Linked DNA regions of Tamandua tetradactyla. The protein of the gene in region 1 interacts with the protein of each later gene in a biochemical or structural test. Links are inferred from orthologs where the notes say so. Each region holds a gene or a part of one and is shown on either strand. Other genes may lie near its edges.

Evidence for each region. The genes of interacting proteins can lie anywhere in the genome.
Region 2: the proteins of histone H2B type 1-B (region 1) and USP51 form a complex in vitro, tested with the Homo sapiens proteins (2 studies listed by BioGRID, with this or other methods). The link is inferred for Tamandua tetradactyla from reciprocal best matches to the Homo sapiens genes H2BC3 and USP51.

The regions. Positions count from the first base shown.
Region 1 is NC_135351.1:29,337,261-29,343,774, reverse strand, and holds histone H2B type 1-B, read left to right. Parts: upstream 1-2,802; 5' UTR 2,803-2,874; coding exon 2,875-3,255; 3' UTR 3,256-3,308; downstream 3,309-6,514. Other genes in the region: histone H3.1, read right to left, coding at 876-1,286; histone H2A type 1-like, read right to left, coding at 2,137-2,529. UniProt on the Homo sapiens protein: Core component of nucleosome. Nucleosomes wrap and compact DNA into chromatin, limiting DNA accessibility to the cellular machineries which require DNA as a template.
Region 2 is NC_135353.1:113,252,758-113,260,514, reverse strand, and holds USP51 (ubiquitin carboxyl-terminal hydrolase 51), read left to right. Parts: upstream 1-3,886; 5' UTR 3,887-3,989; intron 3,990-4,444; 5' UTR 4,445-4,608; intron 4,609-4,784; 5' UTR 4,785-4,839; coding exon 4,840-6,966; 3' UTR 6,967-7,369; downstream 7,370-7,757.

The sequences.
Region 1 (6,514 bases):
AAGGCCCCAGGTCCTTCTGCTATGTCTGAGGGAAGTGTAGATGTCTTTGTAGTTTAAATCTATGCCAGAGATGAACAAATTCAGTGCAGGACAAGATTACTTCACTAGAGAAATTTAAGAGAACAGGGATTTAGGGCACCATGGCAACAGCAAAGATGAGGCCCTGAGAGCTCTCAAGTGTGAGCACTCTACGGTTATTTTCAAATACATTCTTGTCACAGCACTGAGGCTTGGAGACTTGAGGGAAATGCTCAAGGTCAGTTACTCATGCTTCTGATCTGCCAGTCAGTATTATCTTTTATATACAAGCATTGCCCCTCAGAAACACAATGAAAGCCTGTATTTAATTTTAAGCTTCCTAGAAAGCACATTAACAAAAAGTAAACGGAAGTGTAGTTCATTGTAATGTTTTAACCCACTGTAATACAAAACTATCACTTTAAAATAAAAAGCTTAATGAAATTCTAAGATGTTTTTAGCACATTAAAATCTGGAATGTATTTTCAAATTTGACATCCATTTTAATTACCTGTAATCCAAGTACCTAATCTCCAATCTGTTTTGTGATAGTGACCCAACCGAAGTAAAGAGAACACTTGCTCTGAGCTGAATACAAATGTATTCAATTATCCTGACCCATTCCTTCAGAAAGGAGGGGATCCCCAAAGCCTTACACATTAACTCACCCTATCCACTTCACACCGAGCTATAACCAGGGAATGAGGCAGATATACCAAGTTCAACTCTATTGTCAATTTCGCTGGAGGCAAGGCAAAATTGCAAGAAAATCGTTACCTAAAGACGAGTACAACTACTTTTAAGTGAATCTATGGGTGGCTCTGAAAAGAGCCGTTGTCAAATGAGAAAGGTTTAGCTTACGCCCTCTCCCCGCGAATGCGGCGAGCGAGCTGGATGTCCTTGGGCATGATGGTGACGCGCTTGGCGTGGATGGCGCACAGGTTGGTGTCCTCGAAGAGTCCTACCAGGTAGGCCTCGCACGCCTCCTGCAGCGCCATCACCGCCGAGCTCTGGAAGCGCAGGTCGGTCTTGAAATCCTGCGCGATTTCGCGCACCAGCCGCTGAAACGGCAGCTTGCGGATCAGCAGCTCGGTGGACTTCTGGTAGCGGCGGATCTCGCGCAGCGCCACGGTACCGGGCCGGTAGCGGTGCGGCTTCTTCACGCCGCCCGTGGCCGGCGCGCTCTTGCGAGCCGCCTTAGTGGCCAGCTGCTTGCGCGGTGCTTTGCCGCCCGTGGACTTGCGGGCCGTCTGCTTAGTGCGAGCCATCTACAAAGGCTGGGCACAACAGATACCAATGTTGAGTTTGGCGGTGAGGTTGATTTTAAATATAGTCAGAACCAATTTGATTGGCTTTCTGAATTTTCAAAAATCCCGCGCGAGATAGCCATTGGCTGATGAGGGATTGTAATGATTGGCTATTTGCTGGGAACTCTTAATGAATTACTCTACTTCCGGATCCTCTACCCTTTTGTTTACTTTCAGAGATCTGAGAATTTTAGGAAGTTCTAGTTCAGCCTGTCTCCAACTATAATGTATATAAGGAGAGACCTAGATCTAGTTTAAAATGTGAATTCAGTAAATCGGGTTGTCCTAACATTCTGCATATAATCTACTGGTTATATCAATGCTGCTTGTTGTGCATTCCCAGTACAATTTCATTATTGTTTCTTTTGTTTTTTTAACTATACCTCAAAGTGCCTGGATTGTCTCTCCTTCATTCTAACTGCGGTTACATTTACCTCCTGGGTGTTTCTATCTTTGACGTATATAAGCAGGGTATCCGGGTGCAGTACTTACAGAGAGTAAAGCGCCCAGACAGGTGTTCTATAGCGGAGAGTTGCTTTTGTGTGCTGTGTAAAAATGGGTTGTAATTCGTGCTTGACTGTTAACTGAAAGTTTATTAACCTCGCCGCAACCCAGTTGCTGAACAAAATTCCTGTTACACGTATTCAGCACTTAAAGGACATCCCAGTAAGGCTGTTTTTCCAAAGCCCAGATCGATCTTTACACAATAAAAACAACTCTACAGTTACAAGCTTTTCTCGTGAGAATGTGGTTGGCTCTGAAAAGAGCCTTTGTTAAAATAAGCCTGAAGTAACCTTGTTGAGCTGGGCTTTTATTTGCCTTTAGCCTTGTGGTGGCTCTCGGTCTTCTTGGGCAGTAGTACTGCCTGGATGTTGGGCAGGACGCCGCCCTGCGCGATGGTTACCTTGCCCAGCAGCTTGTTGAGTTCCTCGTCGTTGCGGATAGCCAGCTGCAGGTGGCGGGGGATGATGCGGGTCTTCTTGTTATCGCGGGCCGCGTTGCCTGCCAACTCCAGGATCTCGGCGGTCAGGTACTCCAGCACCGCTGCCAGATACACAGGGGCTCCGGCCCCGACTCGCTCGGCATAGTTGCCCTTGCGGAGCAGGCGGTGCACACGGCCCACTGGGAACTGCAGACCCGCTCTCGATGAGCGAGTCTTCGCCTTAGCACGAACTTTACCTCCTTGTTTACCGCGTCCAGACATTCTGAACTTATTAAGTGCAACAGCTAGCCAACGCGCAAAGCGGAAAACTAAGTATGCTACTAAAAAAAAAGCTTTTTATAGGCAATGGAAGGTTTCAGACTTTAAGCTACCCTATTGGCCGAAATGGTTCTGTAGTATTTGTCCAATAGGAAAAGAAAATGTGAATCCTTTATTTGCATAAACACCTCCCTTTCGGGAAGTGTGCTATTTTTATCCAATCAGCAGTAAGTGTTCTTCAACCCTCATTTACATAAAGCAACTATAAATAATTGAGCTGCTATAGTTCCACTATTTTTAGTTGTGGAGATCGTAATTGTTTTTGCGAGTAGCTTTTAAGAAATAACAATGCCTGAACCTTCCAAATCTGCTCCAGCTCCTAAGAAGGGTTCAAAGAAGGCTATAACTAAGGCCCAGAAGAAAGATGGTAAGAAACGTAAACGCAGCCGCAAAGAGAGCTATTCCATCTATGTGTACAAGGTGCTGAAGCAGGTCCACCCCGACACCGGCATCTCGTCCAAGGCCATGGGCATCATGAACTCGTTCGTCAACGACATTTTCGAGCGCATCGCGGGCGAGGCATCGCGCCTGGCGCATTACAACAAGCGCTCGACCATCACCTCCAGGGAGATCCAGACGGCTGTGCGCCTGCTGCTTCCCGGGGAGCTGGCCAAGCACGCCGTGTCCGAGGGCACCAAGGCCGTCACCAAGTACACTAGTTCCAAGTAAACACCTGTATATGTGCCTCCTACTCCAAAGGCTCTTTTCAGAGCCACCCACTTTTTCCAGAGAGAGTTGTAATTGCGGCACCAACAAAACTGTCAAGCTAGTTTTTCTAGGAAATTATTTCCGTGATAATTTGAAGCTGGCGGGGAGGTGAGGTTTGTTCTAACGCCCATTTGCGCACACCGCAAGATTGCGGTGTTTTACATCTCTGTACTTACCGCGTGTAAGCCCCAGGATTAGGTAAATTCCTATATTTCTGCTCAAATGTGCTGGGGGGAATTCTTTAATTTTCTGTGGGTGTGGGTTACGGAGCAGCTAGGAATTTCAGCATAAGGAAATTGAGAGCCATAGTTGGCCGTATAGTCTTCCTGGGGGTTGGGTGGTGTGTGCGAGTACTGGAGCCGTTTCTGGCCGCCTGTGACATGTTCGAGCTGTTTTGGAGTGCTATGAGATGAGGTTGTTCTAATCGTGCTATAATTGGTCACCGATGGCAACAAAAAGCCTTTTAGATTTTTCTTGCATATTAGAAACCTCGGTCAGTTTTACTGGGGCATACGCTGTTTCGGCCTTGCCAGCAAAATGGGGCGGGGATGATGGCTTGAATCCTGGGGGTGTGTGGGGGGGATTTGAATTTCCCGCGCTTTCTGGCGCCACCTCCTTGAATGCAGGCTGAGAAAAAAGATTCGTGACTGCCTATTGAAAAGAAACAAAGATATCTTAATTTTAGTCAGCACTTTATTTGGGTAAAATACGGCAGTGCTTTTGGAAGAAAAAGCAAAATTTCTCAAACTTATCTATTTTAGAGGAAAATAAAAATTACCTTGTCTTAGATTCCTAAGATGTCACCAGCCAGCAATATGAGAAGGACTTTGCAACAGGTCATCGCGAAAGATACCTTTGTCTTATAATTGTTAATTTTTTTTTAACATTATAACCATGTCGTCGGAACCCTTTGCTCCTCAATTACTAGCAAACAGGCTGAGTTTAAGAATCATTGTTCTTTAGGTTTTTCCCCTGTAGCAGTGAGACCTGAGTAGTATTTTTTAACATCTTCAAAGTGATCTCTTGAGGAGGGATTATTATCTCCCTATCTTGTCATTCAGAATTTATCTCCTTCCTCTCTCCTTTTCTTCTGTCCGTCCATCGGTTGTATCCCTTTCTCTTTTCCTTTTTTCTTCAAATTAGAAGAGAATATTTGATGCTTTACTTAGTTAAGAAGCCTAGACCAAAACATGGGTCTCCGAAGCCTGAAAACTAGACCTTTTTTGCCATTTTAAGGCCACCTTACTGGTCCTTATAAGTGAATGGGGAATTAAAAAAAAGAAGAAAGTCTGATGCCTGTGCTCTAGGGTTCTGCATTGGGGAGTGGTGAGCTATCTATCCAAAAAAGATGACCTGAAGATAAGATCCGACTCCTCAGGGGCCAGAGAGGAGGAATTGCCCTTGGCTGAGCTGTGAGTGCCTGGAAATAGGTGGAGGGGGTTCAGGAGAATGTTGATTTGGCGAGAGGTTGACTGGGAATTAGGAAAACAGAAGAAAGGCCTGCAAAGAGACAGATGGGAGGAGGCCCTGAGTAAGTTCAAGATTTGGGAAAGGTGGGGATAAGATTTGGGGAAGGAGGGGAGAAGGTTGCGAAGAAAGAAATACTCCACCCCCTCATGGCAGGTGAGAGGGCATAGATTTTCTCAATATTATCTTCAGCAGAATTGTCTCCCAGAAATACCAGATGTGCTTTTCATTTCCATTAAATAATATACATGATATATGTCTGAGGTTTTCAAAGATTTCCTGGAAAAATACCTGCCCTTCATTGAAACACACACATGACATATAAATGCAAATAAAAATCAATCGAAATTCTATTTCCTACATATTTTGGTGAACAGCTTTCCAGAAATTTTACTTAATGCAAATCTATACACCCAGATATACAAACGTTATATGAAAGGAAAGTGAAGGAGTGTAGAAGAGGAGACTGCTCGAAAAGAAGGAACGGGACAGACCTTAACAGATCATGGCAAGTTTTATTAGAGAGCTTGAGAGGGATGGCCTGAGGAACAGTCAAGTCTGGAGGACTGACTGAACCAAGAGTTGTGCTAAGGGGAGGGAGAGTGGCATATTTATAGAACAGGGCTTATTAAAACCAAGAATATAAAAAAACAAAGGAACAATGTATTTTGTGGTTACACGTCTGCAGTTAAATGTTTGATATGCTTCGGAGATTGTTAGGAATAGGCAGGTGGGGCTCTCCAGTTCTCCAGGGTGGATGAAGTTCAATCAGCCGTGACTGGTTAGATCAGTTTGTTAGTTCCATCATTATATAAATGCTATTATGAAGTTAATACACACTGAATAAAGAAAAACATATCTATATTATTTTCCTTGGTGCAACGTTCTTTAGAAAACTTGTAATTGACCAATCTCTGTCCCTTTAAGGAGTATGTAAATCTTCTACAAGCTAAATAAGCCTTTGCCTTCTTTACAAGCCAGGAATGTCTTTCTCAAGGGCTGGGGGCCATTTTTCTGAAATATAAACACCAAGAAAGCACCCTTATCTCCCCATTTCCATGGGAAATTAATTTAAGCACCTGGCTCCATATTGTAACCATCTAAATGTCATAGAAATATGAGAAATTTTATGATCCCTTTGGATACAGGCAACTAGTAAACACAAGTACCAATTAACAAGTGAACTTATGATTAACTGTTTGACAAATGGTGCTGTGAAGTCCTGTTACTATACTTGAAGACTAGTTATCATTTAACCTGAGAAAATATATGTAATGGGTTGTTTCTTATTGGCTATATTAAAGAGTGAGATGCCTTTCTTTTTATGTTTTTTTGTAGTCCCTTTAGAGATTGCCCGTGATACATCACGTTTTACTTTAATGCTTACTCAATAGTAAAATTGTTTATATTTTTCTGCTCCCTTTGATGAGAGGTTTTTCTGGGTTGGGAGAAAAATTTGGTTTTTATTTCCCCAACAAGATCAAATTTTTTATTTTCTGTAACTTAAACTGGATAAACAGATGCTAGTGATCATTATCTTGTCTGCATTCCATTTTAGGGAATTAGATAACTGCTCTTTTGTTTACGGATTTGGTCTATTTTCTTAGCCAGGCTGTGATAAAGAATTCAAGGACACAGCATAGAGAAAGCAAGCAGAAATTTTACTAGATATACATGTGTGAGGACATGCAGGGCGTCTTGCAAAGACAGAGATGAGGGAGGTGAGAGGCAGTAGGCAATGTGGGGCCATTGG
Region 2 (7,757 bases), on another chromosome or scaffold:
CAGAGCATGGAATTTCAGAGACCTGTGAGTGGGGATAGGAAAAACCTATGTCTTTTGTTTCACACAACTCACACTTAAATTGAGCATATCCTTCAATTAGGAGTCTACGCAGGAAACCACAGTAATATTAGCTTAGCACTACATGTGAGGGTGTCACCGACAAATATTTTATATCATGTCACATTTGTATCAGATTTCTCAAGTATCATTTATGCTCATCACCTTGAAATTATGAAAACCAGAGGCTCAGAAGACATAGTATTTATAACGGGTACCCTGCCTGCCAGCCTCCATGAAAGATCCACCCCCGGTTTGCACAGCTTGCAAATCCCTGGGTCAGTCCTTCCATCCAGGTCTGCTAACCCAGAAGTAAGCAACACTTTGTTGGCTCAGGCTGAGCAAATGTACTTACTTAGAGAGAGAAAAGGTATTTCCCTGCATAAATTAGTCTACAAGTCCAAGGAGCCTTCCCAGCTTGGAACTGTACATATGAGTGAGGTTTGGACATGCTTTCCAGCTACTCTTCCACAGGACACCTTCTCTGTTTATGGGTAGTCTCTTTATGCAGGCTTCCCTCTGCTGACAAAGGGTAAGGTTAGGAGGGGGTGGGTAGCTGGGGCTGGGGCCTCAACTGAGGGCCCAACATGTGCCTCCTCAGAGATGCTGGCTGGGTCTGGCGTGCCCTGCCGGGGAGTTGTCACTGTACCCTGAAAGGCCCCTCCCTCCAGATCTGTGGGATCAAAGGAGGCTTCCTGGAGGAGGCGACACTTGAGCTGCATCTAAAGGACAGAGAATCCAGGAGGGAGATCCGATCCTTGGAGGCTGGTCTAGACTGAGGCACACTCTGGAGATGTGGTAGGGGCAGGACCTCTGGGGGTGAATTTGGAGACAAGGTGGAATCCTGAGGACCTGCTTCCTCCTCTGTTGTACCCCTCTCTGTGCTCTACTCTTAAGGGGTAGACCATCAGAATCACAAGGCTCGGTGGGTGGAGCAGGACAGTATGTGGGGGCAATAACTGGCTGTTTTTCAGGTGGGAGTGGCACTGCTCAGACCTCCAGGGCCACTGAACTCTCCTTACCAGCATGCTGCCAAAGAAGGGACACGCAAGACAGAAGATAATTCACATGTGGGGGATGAGAACAAGGGAAGCAGGACGGACTGTCTCTCAGGACACCAAGGACCTTCATGTTCCCCTTTGCCACCCACCCACTCACCAGTAGGATGACAGGGCAACTTCTCTCTCTAGCTCCTCCTCCTCCCCTTAATATCTGCCTGGCCACCCACTAAAGTGACTCCATTTCTGCCTCTCTTTACCCCACTGCCGCCTTTTGTGTCGTCCTTCAACCCCTGGTGCATGTTGCATAAATCCTTAATATGTAAACACATCCAAAATTCCATGAGGTCAAAACTTTGCATCTTTTTTCTTTTTTTTCACACTGAAAGTGCTATGAAAACTCCAGAGGAAGACAAATTAATGTGCCAAAGGCCACCTAAATTTCAAGGGATCTCTACTGTGTACAGAGTGATGGAAAATTCCAGCATGGAAAGAATAAGCCTTCCCTCCCTTGTTGGGGCCCTCCAGTTAGAACCATGAGAGTGCCAGCATCTTTTCCACTCAGCTACACAGTGTCTGGCTGACCTGTGGACCAGGTATCTGTGGATTTGAAGTGTACTCGGGCTTTTTGCTGCATTGCCATGATTTTAGAGGTCTTGGTGTTTCTTAGCTAGCAAAGAACAGCCAAATTAAAGCAGCTCTTTTTTTATTTGGGTAAACTGAGACTTAGATGTGAGGAGTAGCTCCTCCAAGGCTATAACACAGCTGGAAATGGTGGGAATAATTATAAAAACACAGTTCTCTGAATTCCCATGCAATCACTCCTGCAATCAAATTTATCAAAGAACGTTGATTCTTACTTGAGCTTCTCAGCTTATATTTGGTGTGGGGGAGAAAATTTAGGGGCATGCTTCTCTCCAAGGTCATGTGAGTCCTGCACTCAGTCAGAAAAATCAAATAGGTTAGTCCTTGTTCCTAAAATCTTTATACATCTTTTGTGGAAAAGAATCTACTTGATGACACTTCTATGCCTTAGAGTTCTAGTTCATCCTATTTCTGAGTTTTAGAGAGAAGAGACATGACTTTCCTAGACACTTTGAATGTAGCATTGAACATTCTTAATAGTCTATTCTTCAGATAGGATAGGAATTGCAACAAGCCCTGGAGATAACAACTCTATGGGGGTTGTGTCTTGGATCCTCTAATTTTGAAAAGGAAGGAAAATTCTCTTGGGCAATCAACTCCTTGAGGACAGAAGTCCTTTTACTTACTGTTTCTCACACCACAACCTTGTGCAGTTGTACAATTAAGGGACTGTTGTACTTTTGTTGAATGCATTGCCATGTATATGATCTGCTTAGTTGGGGTGATCAGGTTAACTAAGTAATAACTTTAAGAGGGCTTGGAAATAGACAATCGATTTCTTTTTCATTGTTGTATGTATAGTTATAGTATATACATATATGCAGGATGGGTGCTGAGAGACTTGTGAAAGTAAAACTCTTTTTACATATAATATGTGTGCCAGTTTGAAAGGATGTCTGTGCCCTAGAAAAGCCATGTTTTAATCCTAATCCCATTTTGTAAAAGCAGCCGTTTCTTCTAATCCCTAATCAGAACTGTATGTTTGAAACTGTAATTAGATCATCTCTCTTGAGATGTGAGTCAATCAAGAGTGGTTGTTAAACTGGATTAGGTGGAGTCTCCATCCGTTCTAGGCTGGTCTTGATTACTTTACTGGAATCCTATAAAAGAGGAAACATTTTGGAGAAAGGAGGAGATTCAGAGAGAACAGAGAAGAATGACAGAGCCATGAGAAAGACACGACAGCGAACGATGAGAGAGAAAGCCAGGAGATACAGAGAGAGCAAAAAAGAAGGACACAGCCACTAGAAGCAGAGAGTCCACCAGCCAGCCACTGTGTTCGCCATGTGCCTTTCCAGATGAGAGAGAAATCCTGATGGTGTTTGCCATGCGCCTTTCCACTTGAGAAAGAAACCTGGAACTTCATTAGCCTTCTTGAATCAAGGTATCTTTCCCTGGATGCCTTAGATTGGACATTTCTATAGACCTGTTTTAATTGGGACATTTTCTCAGCCTTAAAAACTGTTAACTCGCAACTTATTAAATTCCCCCTTTTTAAAAATTTTTATTTTTATTTATTTATTTTTGCATGGGCAGGCACCAGGAATCAAAGCAGGTCTCAAGCATGGCAGGCAAGAATTCTGCCACAAAGCCACCATGGCCCGCCCATAAATTCCCCCTTTTTAAAAGCCATTCCATTTCTGGTATATTGCATTTCCCCAGGGAGCTAACCAGAACACTGACTTAGTGTTCTTCACAGGTTAGTACTATAATTATCATTTTTTTGGTTTGTTTTACAGATGACACAATTAAGGTGCAGGGCAGTTCATTTTTATCTGAGGTCACACAGCTAACAAGTGCCTAACTCAGGTGTATTTGAACCTGAAGCCCATGCTTATGTTTCCTCTCCTTCACACTCCAGGGTAACATCTCTCCTTCTCTACTTACTTCTACAGACTAGATTCTGATAGTTCCCTGAAGGATTCAGGCTTGGGGAGCTAGCTGTCTTCCCAGCAATCACCCACCCCTATCCCACGGAATCTTTTCCCTGGTGATCCTGGGCCTGGAATCAGGTGAGGCCCGAACCTCCATTCCAGGGGCTTTCTCGTTATTCTGTCACCCTTGTTACCTTAAGCAGAGTGAGGGTTTGTCTGCTTTCACGGGACAGCGGCGCCATTCATCACTGCCGGAGGGCAGGATCCAGGGCTAGGGGCCACACGTGGAGAGGGGAGGGGCCAAGGGGCGGCCCTCTTGTGACCAGCCCTGAGGATAAGGCCAGGAGAGGCTGGCTGAGGAGTGGTCGGTCAGCAGCAACTGCTGATGCTCTGTATCACACGCCTGGGGTCCACGGTAATCCAGACCTTTAAACAAATAGCTGGGCTGCGTGTGTGGCGGGGGCGAGGAGAGCGGATTTTTCAGGGGTCGCGCACTTAAAGAAGGGGTGGCTATGGGGTTGGTTAATGCTGGGAGGGCGTGAGAAGGAACCAGGATTACAGGCGGAACCGCAGGAAAGGAGGGCGCTGAAGCAAGAGAGAGGGTGTGAGAGGGAGCAGAAGAGGGAAAGAGCCTAAGAAGACGTAGGAGTGTGGCTGACCGACTCAAAGACAGTGCGCGCCTGTGTGCAGGGACGAAAGGTGGAACACACCGGCCCCAGAAGCATAGTTAAGATAAGAGCAGGGAGAAGCTTTCTTCTCCTGTGCCCATTTTCCAAGTGACTCCCTTTCAGCCATTTTTAAGGTAAAATGTTAACTCAAATGTGAGTGTGTGTGTGTGTGTGATTTCTATTTTTGCATTTTGTTTTTTAGTATATAAGGAAAGAACGTCAGAGGAAGCTGTATGAAAGTGAGGCTGCACGAGGCGCAGAGAACGCAGTTAGAGGGTGACGCCTTTTTAAAAAGAAGTTTCCATGTTTCTCCTCCCAAAAGCTCAGGCTGAGTCCCGCCGCAGGATCTGATCGCCTTTAAACCAGGTAACTTCCTCCGTATCCACCCCAGTTCCCGGAGCCAGTCAGAGTGGAGGGGGTGGAGCCCGCAGCTGCATCGGGCTGAGCTCGAAGGCGGATGGAAGGGGTCCCTGGAGCATAAACTGAGCACCGCGGCCTTGATGCTAGGCATGTCACTCATAGAAGTCCCTGTCTCATTCCAGCTACAATCGCAGCTCGAATCCAGACGTCCATCTCCTTAGGCGGGGCGGTGAGGTGATGGCCCAGATACCAGAAGTTTCCATGTCCTCCGGTTCAGCGGTCCTCCCGAGCTTGGAAGCTGGAGGTGGAGCTTTGCTTGAGGTGGCTGAAAAGGCGGGGGGAATGGAGGAGGAGGCAGTAAGGGTGGCGAAGGCATGTTCTGGCCAGGGAGCTGAGAAGAGCAAGCTGGAATCATTACAAGAGCATAAGCCTGATCCTGACGAGAACTTGACACGGAGCGGTGACGGCGAGGAGAAGGTGCTCTTTACAATCCACCCTCGCTGTCATAGCAGCGCCTCGCCGGTTTGCCCACGCCGCAAGCCCCGCCCTCGGCCCCAGCCCTGGGCACGCTCCCGAGGCCCTTCCAGGCCCTCAGACCCTCCCCCGCCTCCAGTCCGTCCCCTGCTACCGCCCCTCCCCCTGCCTTCGCTCCCGCCCCCACCCTGGCTGGGGCGCAGATCCAGGCGGAGATCACAACCCAGGTCCGTGCCGCAGATATGGCGAGGCTGTTCTGGTGAGCTAGGCAGCTCTGGGGATCGAGATGGCTCAGGGGGCTGGTTGCTGGAGATGGAGTTTGATAAGGGTCCTATAGGATGTTGTCATGTAGAGAGTTTTAAAGTGGTTAAGAACTGGCAGAAGAACCTGCGGTTGATCTACCAGCGTTTCGTTTGGAGCGGGACCCCGGAGACTAGGAAACGTAAAGCAAAGTCGTGCATCTGTCGTGTATGTAGTACCCATATGAACAGGCTCCACTCTTGTCTCTCCTGTGTCTTTTTTGGCTGCTTTGCTGAAAAACATATTCACAAACATGCAGAAACAAAACAGCACAATTTAGCTATCGACCTCTATCATGGAGTTATATATTGCTTTATATGTAAGGATTATGTATATGACAAGGACATAGAACGGATTGCCAAAGATACAAAAGAAAAAAATTTGAAGTTACTAACTTCCACCTCAACAGACGTTTCTCAACAACAGTATATGACATCAGGTGTTAAAGAGAAGCAATCAACCTGTGAGTCAAAGGAACAGGAGCCAAAATTTGTGAAACCCAAGAAAAAGAGGAGAAAAAAGTCAGTTTATACTGTAGGTCTGAGGGGGCTAATCAATCTTGGAAATACCTGCTTTATGAACTGTGTTGTCCAGGCACTTACCCACATTCCTCTATTGAAAGATTTCTTCCTCTCTGACAAGCACAAATGTATAATGACAAGCCCCGGCTTGTGTCTGGTCTGTGAAATGTCTTCACTTTTTCAGGCTATGTACTCTGGGAGCCGAACTCCTCATATTCCCTATAAGTTATTGCACCTGATATGGATTCATGCAGAACATTTAGCAGGGTACAGGCAACAGGATGCCCATGAGTTCCTTATTGCAATATTAGATGTGCTGCATAGACACAGCAAAGATGATAGTGTTGCACAAGAAGCCAATAACCCCAACTGTTGTAACTGTATCATTGACCAAATCTTCACAGGTGGCCTCCAGTCAGACGTCACATGTCAAACCTGCCACAGCATCTCCACTACAATTGACCCATGCTGGGACATCAGTTTGGACTTGCCTGGTTCTTGTGCCACATTCACTTCCCAGAGCCCAGAGAAGGCTGACAGCGCAGTAAGAAGGGATGATCACATACCAGGAATCCCCTCTCTCACAGACTGCCTACAGTGGTTTACAAGACCAGAGCACCTAGGAAGCAGTGCCAAAATCAAATGCAGTAGTTGTCAAAGCTACCAAGAATCTACCAAACAGCTCACAATGAAGAAATTACCTGCTGTGGCCTGTTTTCATCTCAAACGGTTTGAACATGTAGGTAAACAGAGACGAAAGATTAATACTTTTATCTCCTTTCCCTTGGAGCTGGACATGACTCCATTTTTGGCCTCCACTAAAGAGAGCAGAATGAAAGGCCAGCCAGCAACAGACTGTTTGCCCAATGAGAATAAGTATTCCTTGTTTGCAGTGATTAATCACCATGGAACTTTGGAAAGTGGGCACTATACTAGCTTTATCCGGCAACAAAAGGACCAGTGGTTCAGCTGTGATGATGCCATCATCACCAAAGCTACCATTGAAGACTTACTTTACAGTGAAGGATATTTACTGTTCTATCACAAACAGAGCCTAGAGAAAGACTAGTCTCATAATTTGCAAGAAAATAGTAAAATGAATGAATAGGTATGGATCCTGAAGTGACACACAAACCTACCTGGAATGGACAATGACCACAACACATATGTGACAACTCATACCTTGATATAAAGGACGTATTTTATTACCATGGCCCAAGAATCTGTAGGAGAAAACAAATTAATCCTAACCAGTGACCATTCAGCCTTAAAGAAAGGGGGAATAGGTTGAAATTGGTCACATATGAGCACAGTTACATGAAAAGAATGCTCTAGGTAGAGAATGGGAATAGAGATGTTCTAACACTACTACAGAAATATTGTGGGAAGTAAAGGGGTATTCCTTCATCAGCAAATAATTTCTGTTAATGTTCCAGCAGTGTCTGACCAGTCAAATAGTTTGGAAAATAAAGAGAATATTTTAAAAGAAAAATTTAAAAGCTTTAAGGAAGTAAAACATTTTAAAAAGAAAAAAAAACATTTTTTAAAACTTTAAAGAAAACATTAAGTTAAATATTTTGAAAGTAAATGTTTTAAAGATTAAAAATGATTTTAATTTTAAAAAGGCTCAAAAATTATTCAAATCAGTTTTATAAGCAAAAAGTTAGGAAATCTTAAAATTTAAAAATGGAAAATGAAAAAGGAAAGGAAAGGAAAAAGAATAAAAACTAAAACTTTGAAAAAAGGTAAGGTGAAAGGATCAATTTTTAAAATTACAAAGATAAAAAAAGGAAAATATTAGAATGCAAAGCTTAAGAGTTAAAGTTTAAAATGAAAGAAAATGCAATGTAGAGGAATACC